3 linked regions of the Caenorhabditis elegans genome follow. The protein of the gene in region 2 purifies or fractionates together with the protein of the main gene of each other region. This does not show direct contact. Each region holds a gene or a part of one and is shown on either strand. Other genes may lie near its edges.

Region 1 (4,008 bases), on a different chromosome or scaffold from region 2:
TTGTCAGAAAAAGATTTTTTTTCGATTTTCCGATTTTCCGGAAAATCGAAAATGTTATATTAAGTCTCAGAAATAATTACTAAGGGTAAAGCTTTTAAAGCCTTTTCAATTTCATTTTGAATATCCACAAAATATTGATTTTTCAGGTTTTACGAGCCAATTTGCAAGAAATTTATCGGTTTCCAAATTAAATTTTTTTTAATTAATCAAAACAAGGCTCTGCAATTTTCAATATGCTATAATCCAACTTTTTGATCTAAACTTTATATAGGAATGTAATTTAAAAAAGGTCTGTTCCATGTGAAAAAATTATTTATTTTTTTTGAAAAATTTGAAATAGGCCTCGCACCATTTGAGGCCTTTTTCAAAATTTTCAACAAAAATAAATATTATTTTCAGATGGAACATAAATTTTTTCTACATTTCTATATCAATTTTAGATCAAAAAGTTGGATTATAGCATATTAAAAATGGCAGAGCCCTGTTTTGATTATCTTTAAAAAATTTAATTTGGAAACTCATAAATTTCTTGCAAATTGGCTCGTAAAACCTGCAAAAATCAATATTTTCAAGATATTCAAAATGAAATAATTTCTGAGACTTCACTTTTTTGCAATTTCTTCAAATTTCCCGCATTTCTATTCCAATTCCAGATGAGACCCATACCCGCTCTGGAAAACCATGAACGTTGGCATCGAATTGACACCGTTCTCTGAGCTGGTTTTCTCGCAGATCTCCACATCAACTTTCAGAAAAACTGCTCCAAGATATTGATTGGACAGAGCTTCAAATGTTGGAGCAATCATTTTGCACGGTCCGCACCAGACTGCAGTGAAATCGACAATCACTGACTTGAGACCAGCGAGGGAAAGCTGATTTCTGAAGTCTTCGTCGTCTTTCACGTTGATAACTGGCATGGTGTAGGGGAGATGGGCTGAAAATTAATTTAATATTTAGATTACTGCACTTATTTTTTTAAGGTGGTGTAGTCGAATTTTTTTAAAATTGCTTCATTAGACTCAAAATTGTCTCAAAACACCGAATTTCATGATGAAACTGCTTGAAAACTTCTCAAAAAAAGTTATGACTGCTCAAAAAATGGCCTAAAATTAGTTAAAATTTGAAATTAGACCGACTTTTCAAGCGGCTAAAAACTACCTTTTTTGAAATCACCGTCAAATTTTGAGTATATATAAAATGTAATTATCTTGCGTTTTCAACTCGATTTAGGTATTTTAAAGTCGATGGACGGCGAGATTTGGTTTAAAAAATTTAAAAATCTCGCCGTCCATCGACTTCAAAATATCTGAATCAAATTGAAAATGCAAGATAATATAATTGTATACTCAAAATTAGACGGTAATTTCAAAAAAGTTAGTTTCCAGCCGCTTGACAAGTCGGTCAAATTTCAAATTTTAACTAATTTTAGGCCATTTTTTGAGCAGTCATAACTTTTTTTGAGAAGTTTTCAAGCAGTTTCATCATGAAATTCGGTGTTTTGAGACAATTTTGAGTCTAATGAAGCAATTTTAAAAAAATTCGACTACGCCACCTTTAAAATACGGATTTTTAATCGAAAAATGCAAAATAATCTCAAAAAATGGGAAAAATCCCCAAAATCTAAAGAAAAATTAAAGAAAAAAATTGGGTTTTGAAAAAAGTTGTTATTTTGTAGTTGAATTTGTTGAATTTTTCCCGCTGAAATTCCAATTTTTAAGCTTTCGCATCATTTTTTTTGGGATTTCTGGCAAAAGCTATTGTAAATACTCCCGGAACAATGCACGAATATATTTTAGCTATTTAATACGCAGAAATTGTGAAATTTCGTTATTTTTTGGGCGATTTCTGGGGAAATTTTGACCGAAAAATTGTAATTTCTGGGATCACCGCTTCCAAAATTGTTCAGTTTATAGTTCTAGGAGCAAAAGATATCTCATTCAGAAGAAAAAACGAAAAAAAAATTTCAAAAAATATAGGAATCACGCCAATTTAAATAATTATTCATTAAAAAAAAGATTTTTTGAAGGTTTCCACAGTAAAATGCATTCATTCTCAAACTGATTTTTGGGTAATTTTGGGCATTTTACACGCTAAAATAGGTGAAAAGCACTTTTAAACGCTCTGAACACAATTTTAATATGCAAAAAATAGTATAAATTCCGGAAAATTAAGAAAATCGGCATGAAACGTGGATTTGTCAGCATTCAAAATGAATGCCGGTGCGGCGAGGGAGTGCACGAAGCGTGGAGACGCAGCGGACAACAAACGCGCTCCAATGGACAAAAAGTGCGGGAAACCGGGACTGTTCAAAGTGTACGCTTTGTCTGTCGTCTCTCCCATTTATTTTTTGGTTTTCGCGAATAATTTCGCTGAAATTATTATTTATTCCTGATAAAAATGAGTTCCCGGGTGACTAGATCCAGGTCCCAGACTCCGCAGACTGCTGTAACCGACTTTTTCAAGGTAAATTGGAGTTTGAAGTTATGAATTGCAATTATTTAATGTTTTTTTTTCTTTTTCAGACCACCAGAAAACCGAGAGCAAGAGGAGAAAAGAAGATTATCGATGAAAGCATCACAAAGACCACTACAATTAAAGAAGTACAAATTCCTGCTGCTCCAATCGTCGAGAATAAATCCTCCCGAACTCGCGCTCGGACTCCATCCCGTCAAGCGGAATTATCGAGTTCCGGAACTCCGCCAAAAAAAGCTAGAGAAGCTGAAGCAGAAGCCCCTGAGCTTCCCAAAATCCATGAAGATATTATTCTGGAAAATCCGGCTCCTCAGAAGTCAGCGATCGATAAGCTAATGGAAGCATCCGGCCCAGCGAAAAAGAAGGCTGGAATTCGAACTGTTGCAGATTTACAAGCAAGAATAGCTGCAAAAGGAGCAGCTAAAGCGATTCATGAGCAAAATTTGAAGAACAAAACGAAGCAGGTCGATGATCACGTGGAATTGCTGAAATCTCCGAAGAAACCAGTTATTGTTGAGCATCACAAATCACCTCAGAAATCCAAGGCCGCTCGTAATCTGTTCTCACCGAAGAAGCCAGTTCCAGACTATATTATTCCCGGCTTTAATGTCCTGAAATCGGCCGAAAAAGTTCGCGGAGAGCAGGATGATGCTCACGAAGAAGAGGGAAAACGAATGACTGCAGAGTTTCTGAAGAGCTCACGGCTTATTGATGAAGTTAAGGAGAGTGCACGTCAACGGATTGAACTTCCAACTGCGTATGAACATCTCGCTGATACTTTCAAACGAATCGATCAGATCACTGCGATCTTTATCGGTCAGAATCGAAGCTGTGTGGTTCCTGAGTTGATCAAGAATGTTAAGAATACGTCTGGAAAGGATTTTTCCAATGAACATTTGTCACAAATTCTTCATGTATATCCTCAATCATATCATATTGAGATGCGTGAACAGCGAAAAGCATTCGGCCAGGGCGGGAAGTATGAACTTGAGGTTCGACCGAATCTCGTGGAAGGTTCGTAGCTTTCGGTTGGCAATTTGCAATAAAAACATTTAAAAAATCAGCTATTTCTGACGTATTCCATTAAAATTTAGTGTCAGAAAATAGAAAAAATATTATATTAATCGTAAAATAGCATTCTTTTAAGTTTAAAAAGACTTATCGATTTTTCTTCTCTGTTTGATCACCTCCACACATTTTTGAACTCGAAAATATTTAACGATTAATAAAATATTTCTCTATTTTTTAACAGACCCTATTCATGCTCCTGATACTGATTTTTGATGTGAAAATTTTTCAAAAAATTCAAAAAAAAAGCCCTGGTTTTATATTAATTTTTGGAAATTCTAAAAATACTAGCTTTGCTCAAAAAAAAACTGAAAAAAAACACAATTTTCTCTTCAAAAAGTAAGAAAAAACACAGCTTTTTACCAGATGTTCGAAAAAAAAACTTTTTTGTTTAAAAAATCCAAAAAAAAAACAATTTTTTAGTAAAAAAATTCGAAAAAACTCAATTTTAAGAAAAAAATCCGGGAA
Region 2 (4,008 bases):
ATTTCAGTGCACAAGTTGGAACACTTGATAGTTCCAAGATTTTGCTGGTTAGACTTGCGATTGGCGGCATCTTTGTAGGTGATGTATGGAAGCCCGGTCTCGATTTGGTTGGAAACGATGTGCTCCCAGAGCTTGCGGGCCTTCACCGTTTTGCGGACTCGTCCCTCGGCTTCGTATCTGGAAATTTTGATATGAACTTTGCAAATTTAACTTCACTGTTTAAAAGTTTTTGTTAGTTGATTTTTGTCCGGAGCACACCTTTTTTTTTGAGTATATTCCGGTTATCGATCAACTATTTCATATTCGAAGTTAGTAAACTCAGTCCAAGCAGTACTCTTAAAGTTCTGTCTGGATATCGCACTTCGGTAATTAAAAAAATAAGAACCAGGAGATACTTACTTGGCGTAAAGAGCTTCGAACTCCTCTCCCCAGCAATCATCAAGTCCTGGACATTCACATGGGCACATCAACGACCATTCTTGATCCTTCTCGACTCGCTTCATAAAGAGATCTGGAATCCAAAGAGCAAGGAACAGGTCTCTGGCACGTTCCTCTTCCGGTCCAGTGTTCTTGCGGAGAGATACAAACTCGAAGATATCGGCGTGCCATGGCTCCAGGTAAATAGCAAATGCTCCTGGGCGTTTGTTTCCTCCTTGATCAACATAACGAGCAGTATTATTGTAGACACGAAGCATTGGTATGAGTCCGTTAGATGTTCCATTAGTTCCAGCGATCACAGATCCAGTGGCGCGAATTTTGTGAACATTGAGTCCGATTCCTCCGGCACTTTTTGAAATAAGAGCACACTGCTTCAATGTATCGTAGATTCCGAGAATGGAGTCTTCACTCATTGTCAGAAGGAAGCATGAAGACATCTGAGGACGGCATGTTCCCGAATTGAAGAGAGTTGGGGACGCATGGGTCATGTAACGCTCCGACATCAGATTATAGGTCTCGATTGCGGAAGTAATATCATCTCCATGGATTCCAATAGAAACACGCATCAACATCTGCTGTGGGCGCTCGACAATCTCCTTGTTTATCTTGAGAAGGTAGGAACGCTCCAGTGTTTTGAATCCGAAATAGGTGTAGGAATAGTCACGATCGTAGACGATGGCGGAATTCAGCTTCTGAAATGAAATTTTTTTGAATAAATGCAATTCCTAGGAAAACTAACATCAGCATTCTTCTCAATGATAGCCCAAGTCTCATCACTGATCATTGGTGCGTGTTTTCCGGTATGAGGATGATGGAACTCGTGAAGGGTTTTCATAACTTCCGAGAACACCTTATTCGTTTTCTTGTGCAAGTTCGAAACGGCGATTCGAGCGGCAAGAAGAGCATATTCCGGATGTTGTGTGGTCATGGAAGCAGCAGTCTCTGCAGCAAGATTATCCAACTCAACAGTTGTCACTCCTTTGTACAAGCCACTGATAACTTTGATTGCAACAGCGACCTGGAAAATTTAATTCATCATTGAACTTGTGTTTAATAACAAACCGGATCGACAAAATCCATGTTCAATCCATAGCTCAGCTTCTGAATTCTGGAAGTGATCTTGTCGAAGTGTACATCTTCCTTTCGCCCATCCCGCTTGACAACATAAGTGCTGTTGTAACGTTGCATAACTGGAAAAGATGAATTATTAACAATTTGAGAAGAAAAGAGTGAAAATGGAGGAGCGGAGAGAATTTTCAAATGACCAGTTCATCTCAAATTTACTAGTTTTCGCGCCTAGGTAATAGAGGAACGCGCGAAAACGAGACGCAGACCAAACAAACGCGCTCCATCGGAATTCAAATTCAAAAGGAAAACGAATTATTGAAATCTTGGTCTCATAGAAAAAACAAGTATTACAGTGAAACAGAATACATTATATTTTCCTACGAATTCTGGCTTCAATATGGTTTTCTGATAGAAGTGAGCTAATGTCGAAACACACAAAATTGGCCTAGAAATTCAAACCGAAAATCCACGGTCCTGAGCATTTCTAACTACGGCAGTTTGAAATGAAATATTAATTCACAGCTGAAGAATTTCATTTAAACAAAAAATGTGTTTAGTTTTCTGTGTGAGGAAAAAATCTATTTATACCCTTCGGCACCACAAGCACCGCCTCTAACCATGGCTCCGCCCTTTAGGACAAGTCCGATAATCGCATTTCATTGCTCTGAAATTTAAAAAAAAACGTAAAATTCAAAATAAAACCACATAAAAATGCATAAGATCAGAAGAAACCCCGAAAATAAAAGCTGTAAAACACAATTTTGCCGCGGGTTACTGTAATGGTCTCGACACGAAATATTGTATTTAAAAACTTTATGCGTGCGCCTTTGAAAGAGTACGGTAATTTTTTAAAGAAAAAAACATGTTTCGATGAAATAATATTTATATTCAGTTTTTCCTTAAATTTTCAAACTGCGGACAAAAAAGCGTAGTTTTTTATTTTCTGATGTTTTGTCAGAGATCACTAAAATTTGCTGTCGGTCAATTCAGACAATAAAAAACCACCAGCTGTGATTGCGAATTTTCGAAAATTCGAAAAACGCGTATCTGTTGGCATGCAAGACATGACATAAATAATTTATTTTGACACAGATATATTCAAATGGTTAGTGACGAGATGTTCCATCTCTTGACTGCATTAATCCTCCAGTTATGAGCACTTCCACGCTATGGCTCTCCTCATCCGCATTTTTGTTGACAACATTGTATACCGCCTGAAAATAGATAAATGAATTTTAATTTTATAATTCTATAGATATTCTACTAATTTTCAAGAAAGTTACTCACACTAAGATCAACTGCCTCTGCAGCAGCATCACAGATTTTCCTCACAGTCGGATCATCAGTCATTTTCTTATCAAAAAGTACCGATGCACCATTCCAACCAACATGTGCAATATGTCTGAAAATAAACTTTTGTAAGTAATTAATAGATAAAAGATATCCAAATCTCACGTAAAGTTCCTTGGAAGACTAATCGAATCTGCAGACGTTTTAATTTTTTTGGAATTTCTGCCAGTTGGAGGTTTTCTCATCGGAATTTGTACAGTATCCTTCGGCTGCATCAATGACGGAAGTGGTGGTGGTGGAGGTGGAGGTGGTTTCGAAAGAAGAAGATTACGTGGGACAATCGGAACATTTTCTTTTTGGGTCAAGATTTGGTTCGGTATTGGAGTTGATGGAAGTTCAGGTGGGCAAGTACAAAATGTTCGCAGCTTATGTTCTATCATGTTTCGAAGTGGTCCAATTTTGAAAAATCTATAATGATTTATACTTTTTGCAATATTCTGATTTGTTCCGAACTTACACCGCTTCACGTAAGATTCGCATAAGCTGATATTCGTCTTTTGGCAATGAACATTTCTCATGATCTCTTAGAAAGTTGAGAATAACCGGAAATACTGAAGAATCACGGTCGATGAAGAGTCTACCATCCTGAAATAAGCATTCAAATTTTCCCAATCTACCGTAACCCCCATTCTTGCCTACGTCACAAATTGACGTCACAGGCACCCAACAACCAGTTGGTCATTGCTTTTGAACAGTGCGCTACGTCACACCAGGAGGAGGTCAAGGGAATGGTGTTAGTGGTTGTGGTGTCGGGTGAAAAGTATGGCAACGGGTGGTGGTGGAAAATTATTTGAATGATTCAATGGGCCTGCAGATGTTTGATGACGTAGACATATACGCAGAGTATTTAACACAAGGCATTGGGAATCTTGGGGAAGGTTAGTTGACCAAATGAGGTTTTATTCTATTTAATGGAGTGTTAATATATTTTATAACTGATGTGTTCAGAGCAGTTTATGCGGTTTTTAATTCTAAAAATACGGTACCTGGTCTCGACAAGCGTAAAGGTCTCGACAATACGAAACGAATGTGCGCCTTTAAAGAGTAATGTAATAAAATTACAGTACTTTTTGAAGACGCACACCCTTTTCAATTAAAAAAAATTGCCGCTCCGAGACAAAGTACCGTACTGTTAGCGCAAAATTTAGCATT
Region 3 (4,008 bases), 3.2 Mb from region 2:
GTTTTTGCCTAATTCCTGTTTGAATTACCGCCAATTGGATTTGTTCGATGGAGCGCGCTTGCACGTTTTTAAATTCATTTATTTTATTTTTTGTTATTTTCCACCAATTTTTTAATGTTTTCGGTGTATTTTTGCTCGAATTTTAGAGAAAAAGTCAAGATAAATGCAAATTTTCGATTAAAAAGCAAACGTACAGGCGTAAATCAGTGAAATTAATTAATTCAGGTTCGAAATCGTTTAAAAGCGTTACTTTTCCATTTTTACGCTCGTAAGCGTGCTTTTTAATCGAAAATTTGCATTTGTCTTGACTTTTCCTTCAAATTTTCTGTAAAAATACACAGAAAACATGAAAAATCGGTGGAAAATAACAAAAAAAAATAAAATAAATAAATTTAAAAACGCGCAAGCGCGCTCCATCGAACAAATCCAATTGGCGGTAATTCAAATAGGAATTAGGCAAAAACTGAGATTTTTTCAATTTTCAAAAAATCATATAAAACCTAGAAAATTTTTTTATTATGATATTCGGTCATTGTGACCCCATAGGCGGGTTTAAAGCAATTTCCCCAATGAGCGTAATCCACCTTTAAGAAGGCAAGTCAAAATCTTGAGAAAATACGACAATATTAGGTAGATTGGCAATTTTGAATGAGAAAAATTAACGAAAAACCGTGAAATCCTGCACGAAAATAAATTCGCGATTGTCCACGCACAGTACACGAGCTCGTTAAAGGGACATTGACTTTTCCCAACATTCTACCTTTCTCATAAATGTGTGCGGTCCATATTCTTCGTTTGAAACTTGCTGTCTTTCTCTCAAAATCGCCTCTCGATTATCACACGATTGTGCGTTGATAATCGTATTTTCGTGTGTTATATGCTGATTCATCGACAGCTCTCCACAGCTCAGCGACGACGTGGTGACGTTCATCATTTCGGCAGAGCCTCCGAGCACAGTGCTCTGATCGTTTACAGATGATCCGGATCCTCCGGAGAAAATCGACGATTCGTTGGGCAGATAGTTCACATTCACAATTGGCTGGGCGAATTTGATGCGGCGAGCTTCGAAATCCGACATTCCGAGAGCGATTTCGGGAGCACTTTTCGACGATACCGCTACATTTGGGCTTTTCATGGCTTGTGCTCCAGCCGGAGTACACAGGACTGCTGGACGTGTCTCTCCGATCGACATTCGTGGAGATCTTCCCTTCATATATGCTTCTTTCGGCTTATTGTACTGTGATTGGTAGTCATATTCGTATTCATCGATTTCTTGAGCCAACATTGAGAATCTCGACGTCTTTTTGGAGCTTGACTCGTTGACTGTGGCATCTTTGAACGAATTTAATGAATTTTCAGCGTTTTCCTTCATATTTGGAGTTGTCTCCTTTGGCTCTTGAGGGTGAAAATGCACTGGAGTTGACGGGCCGTCGTTGCATTTTGAGGAGCTTCCGAAGACTTTTGTTGGAGATGCAACTGAAAATCAAACATATTAATTAATATATTTATATTTCTGTATTCTTAAAAACCCCAAAATATACCTTCTTGCTTCACAGATGTAATTTTTGAGGTCACTGGCCCATTCTCCTTTGCCACCTCTCCTTCGCCTGACATTTCGGCTTGCCGAACTCGTATGCGTTCCATTAGAGAATCGAATTGATCCCCCATTGTATTTACAGTGTAGTTCTGCAAGAAAACAATGTTTCCAAGAAAATCTCATCAAAACTTGCGAACAGTTTCAACGAATTCGTAAAACGACGCACTTTTCGCAGCTTTTCTTGTAGAAAATAATTAAAATTGACTAATACGCGTTTATATCGGGCAAAATTCGTGGAAAACGTGTCAAAAAACAGGAAAAATGTGAAAATTCACGTCAAAAAATCGAAAAACGTTTAAAATCGAGTTGCAAAATTTGAATACATTGTTTTGGCGGCAACCAGGTCTCGACGCGTGGTGGGACCCACGCGTGAAAAAAAACGCGCCTTTAATCCCGCGCATCTGCGTCTCTTCTTTTCGCGTGCTCTCTCTCTCTCTCCCTCTCGCGGGATTTCGTCAAAATAAAAAAAAATTTCGAAAAAAATCATTTATTCAATTAATATTTACAAGAAAAAGTGCCATATTAAGTCGTGTGAGCACCAGAATTATTGCAACCTGCATCAAAAATTCGAAATTATCACAATATGATTAAAAATGATTTAAATTTTTAAATTTATGCCAAAACTGCGTTCTCGTCTTGCGCAGGCTCTTCGTCCTCATCCTCCAGCACAAGACGTCCGTACTCTTCTTCGTCGGATTGTCGCTGTAAATTAGAGGAAATTGAATTTTGCAGAAAACCAACAATAATATAATTACCGAATAAACAATGATTACAACAAAAACGGCAAGCCAGGCGATAAGACCAAGTGACAAGCTGATAACACCTCCAATAAATGAATAATGTTTTGCGTTGAAAATATTAATCAGCTGATCACGAGTTCCTTGATCGAAATACGCAGTTTCGTTCATCCAAAGGACTGGAACAACGACGTTTGTCGTGTTTTCGGTGACACTGAAAAATCGATAATTATTAGAGATTTCAATTTCGTAATAGGTAAACCTCAAGGATCCCTTGACCATTCCCACATTAATCTGCATAATTCTTTTCGCTTGAGTTGGAACGCCGGCAGTTGGCTCAATATCTACAACAGTCAGGTCATTTGAAGCAGTTGGCACCGAGAGCCCAGTGACGGAATGCCACAGCTCCATTGGTGAGTTGTAGAAGTGTGGATTGGATAGATAGACACGTGGATTGCCGGCTTGGCATCGTGACAAGTCGATAAGACCGGCAGGGAGGCAGTTTTCTGGAAAAATTAATATTAAAATTTAAATTTAAATTTACAATCGAATTTTTTAAAATAAAACTCTCTCTCTCTCTCTCACCAATTTGCACAGTAGTATTATCAAAATATCGCGGCATTCCATTCTTATTACAAAATGCTCGATTCTGCGGAAGAGCAGGATCGTAAAGATCCAAAGGTGGTGCATATCTCCACGAAGGAACCCCATTCACAGCGACATCTTTTGTGTATTCCATTTGAATTGATCTACATATTTGCGGCACAAATATCGTCAATCTGTCTTCTCGTTTCAGCATCGGACTGAACAATTGTCCATCGGTTCCGTTAATCATTCGTGCGTATTTAGTATCCCATGTTCCTTCGGGCATTTCTGTCATATTATTCCACGTGTATAAATGACCGATTTTCGATGGAGATGGCACGCCAGCATCCACTTCGTATATTCCGTCTGTTGTTCCATTTTGCTGAAGAAAAATCAATATTTTGGAAGGAAAACCGTGCGGCATGGTTGCGCAAAATTTGGCTCCGCCTATTTTTCTGTGCGGCACCTTGCAAACTCATATCTTACCCCATAAAAGAATCCAACTCTCCGCTGAAGAGAATTCGTTTCGCAGAGGAATTGAAGAATTTTATTTTTACAAACGATATCGATTATCGGGTCTTCGTATCCGTCGAATAGAGCATCGCTTACTTTTACCTAAAATTTCACTATTATATTACGGAGAGCACAAAATTCCGAGAATTGCGTATTGCACAACATATTTGACGCGCAAAATGTGAAATATCTCGTAGCGAAAACTACAGTAATTCTTTAAATGAGACTGCTGGAGAGTTGTCGATTTACGGGCTCGAATTGAAAAAAATTCGAGCCCGTAAATCGACACAAGCGCTACAGTAGCCATTCAACGAATTACTGTAGTTTTCGCTGCGAGATATTTCATATTTTGCGCGTCAAATATGCTGTCCAATACGCATTCTTAGAAAAAACTATACCGTAATATACGGAGCCTCGGAGACCATTTTTAGCACTGACTCAATAGCAAATTTGATTCGAACTCCAAAAATTGTCACATCAGCCGCGTCGATGAGCTTTTGAAATACAATATTCGGAATTGTAACCTTCATATCCAAATGGCACGTTGGACAAGAAGCATTTTTGTTGAAATGATAT

What was found.
Region 1: the proteins of rnr-1 (region 2) and cdt-1 fractionate together in Caenorhabditis elegans (co-fractionation; one large-scale study listed by BioGRID). This does not show direct contact.
Region 3: the proteins of rnr-1 (region 2) and ani-1 fractionate together in Caenorhabditis elegans (co-fractionation; one large-scale study listed by BioGRID). This does not show direct contact.

What each region holds. Positions count from the first base shown.
Region 1 is NC_003279.8:3,226,357-3,230,364, reverse strand, and holds the start of cdt-1 (CDT1 Geminin-binding domain-containing protein), read left to right. Parts: upstream 1-2,260; 5' UTR 2,261-2,397; coding exon 2,398-2,463; intron 2,464-2,522; coding exon 2,523-3,486; intron 3,487-4,008. Other genes in the region: txl-1 (Thioredoxin-like protein), read right to left, coding at 667-917.
Region 2 is NC_003281.10:9,226,623-9,230,630, forward strand, and holds the start of rnr-1 (Ribonucleoside-diphosphate reductase large subunit), read right to left. Parts: upstream 1,629-4,008; 5' UTR 1,627-1,628; coding exon 1,501-1,626; intron 1,457-1,500; coding exon 1,178-1,456; intron 1,131-1,177; coding exon 400-1,130; intron 353-399; exon of another isoform or gene 228-352; intron 178-227; coding exon 1-177. Other genes in the region: T23G5.3 (uncharacterized protein), read right to left, coding at 2,613-2,720, 2,794-2,908, 2,962-3,264, 3,314-3,441. UniProt on the Caenorhabditis elegans protein: Provides the precursors necessary for DNA synthesis. Catalyzes the biosynthesis of deoxyribonucleotides from the corresponding ribonucleotides.
Region 3 is NC_003281.10:12,451,517-12,455,524, forward strand, and holds the start of ani-1 (Anillin-like protein 1), read right to left. Parts: upstream 1,687-4,008; 5' UTR 1,669-1,686; coding exon 1,542-1,668; intron 1,477-1,541; coding exon 761-1,476; intron 1-760. Other genes in the region: scav-3 (Sensory neuron membrane protein 2), read right to left, coding at 2,210-2,299, 2,353-2,548, 2,597-2,840, 2,920-3,301, 3,406-3,534, 3,831-4,008. UniProt on the Caenorhabditis elegans protein: Required for contractile events in embryos that occur prior to mitosis, such as cortical ruffling and pseudocleavage. Promotes membrane ruffling by organizing cortical patches of septins and myosin II. Not generally required for cytokinesis in mitotic cells.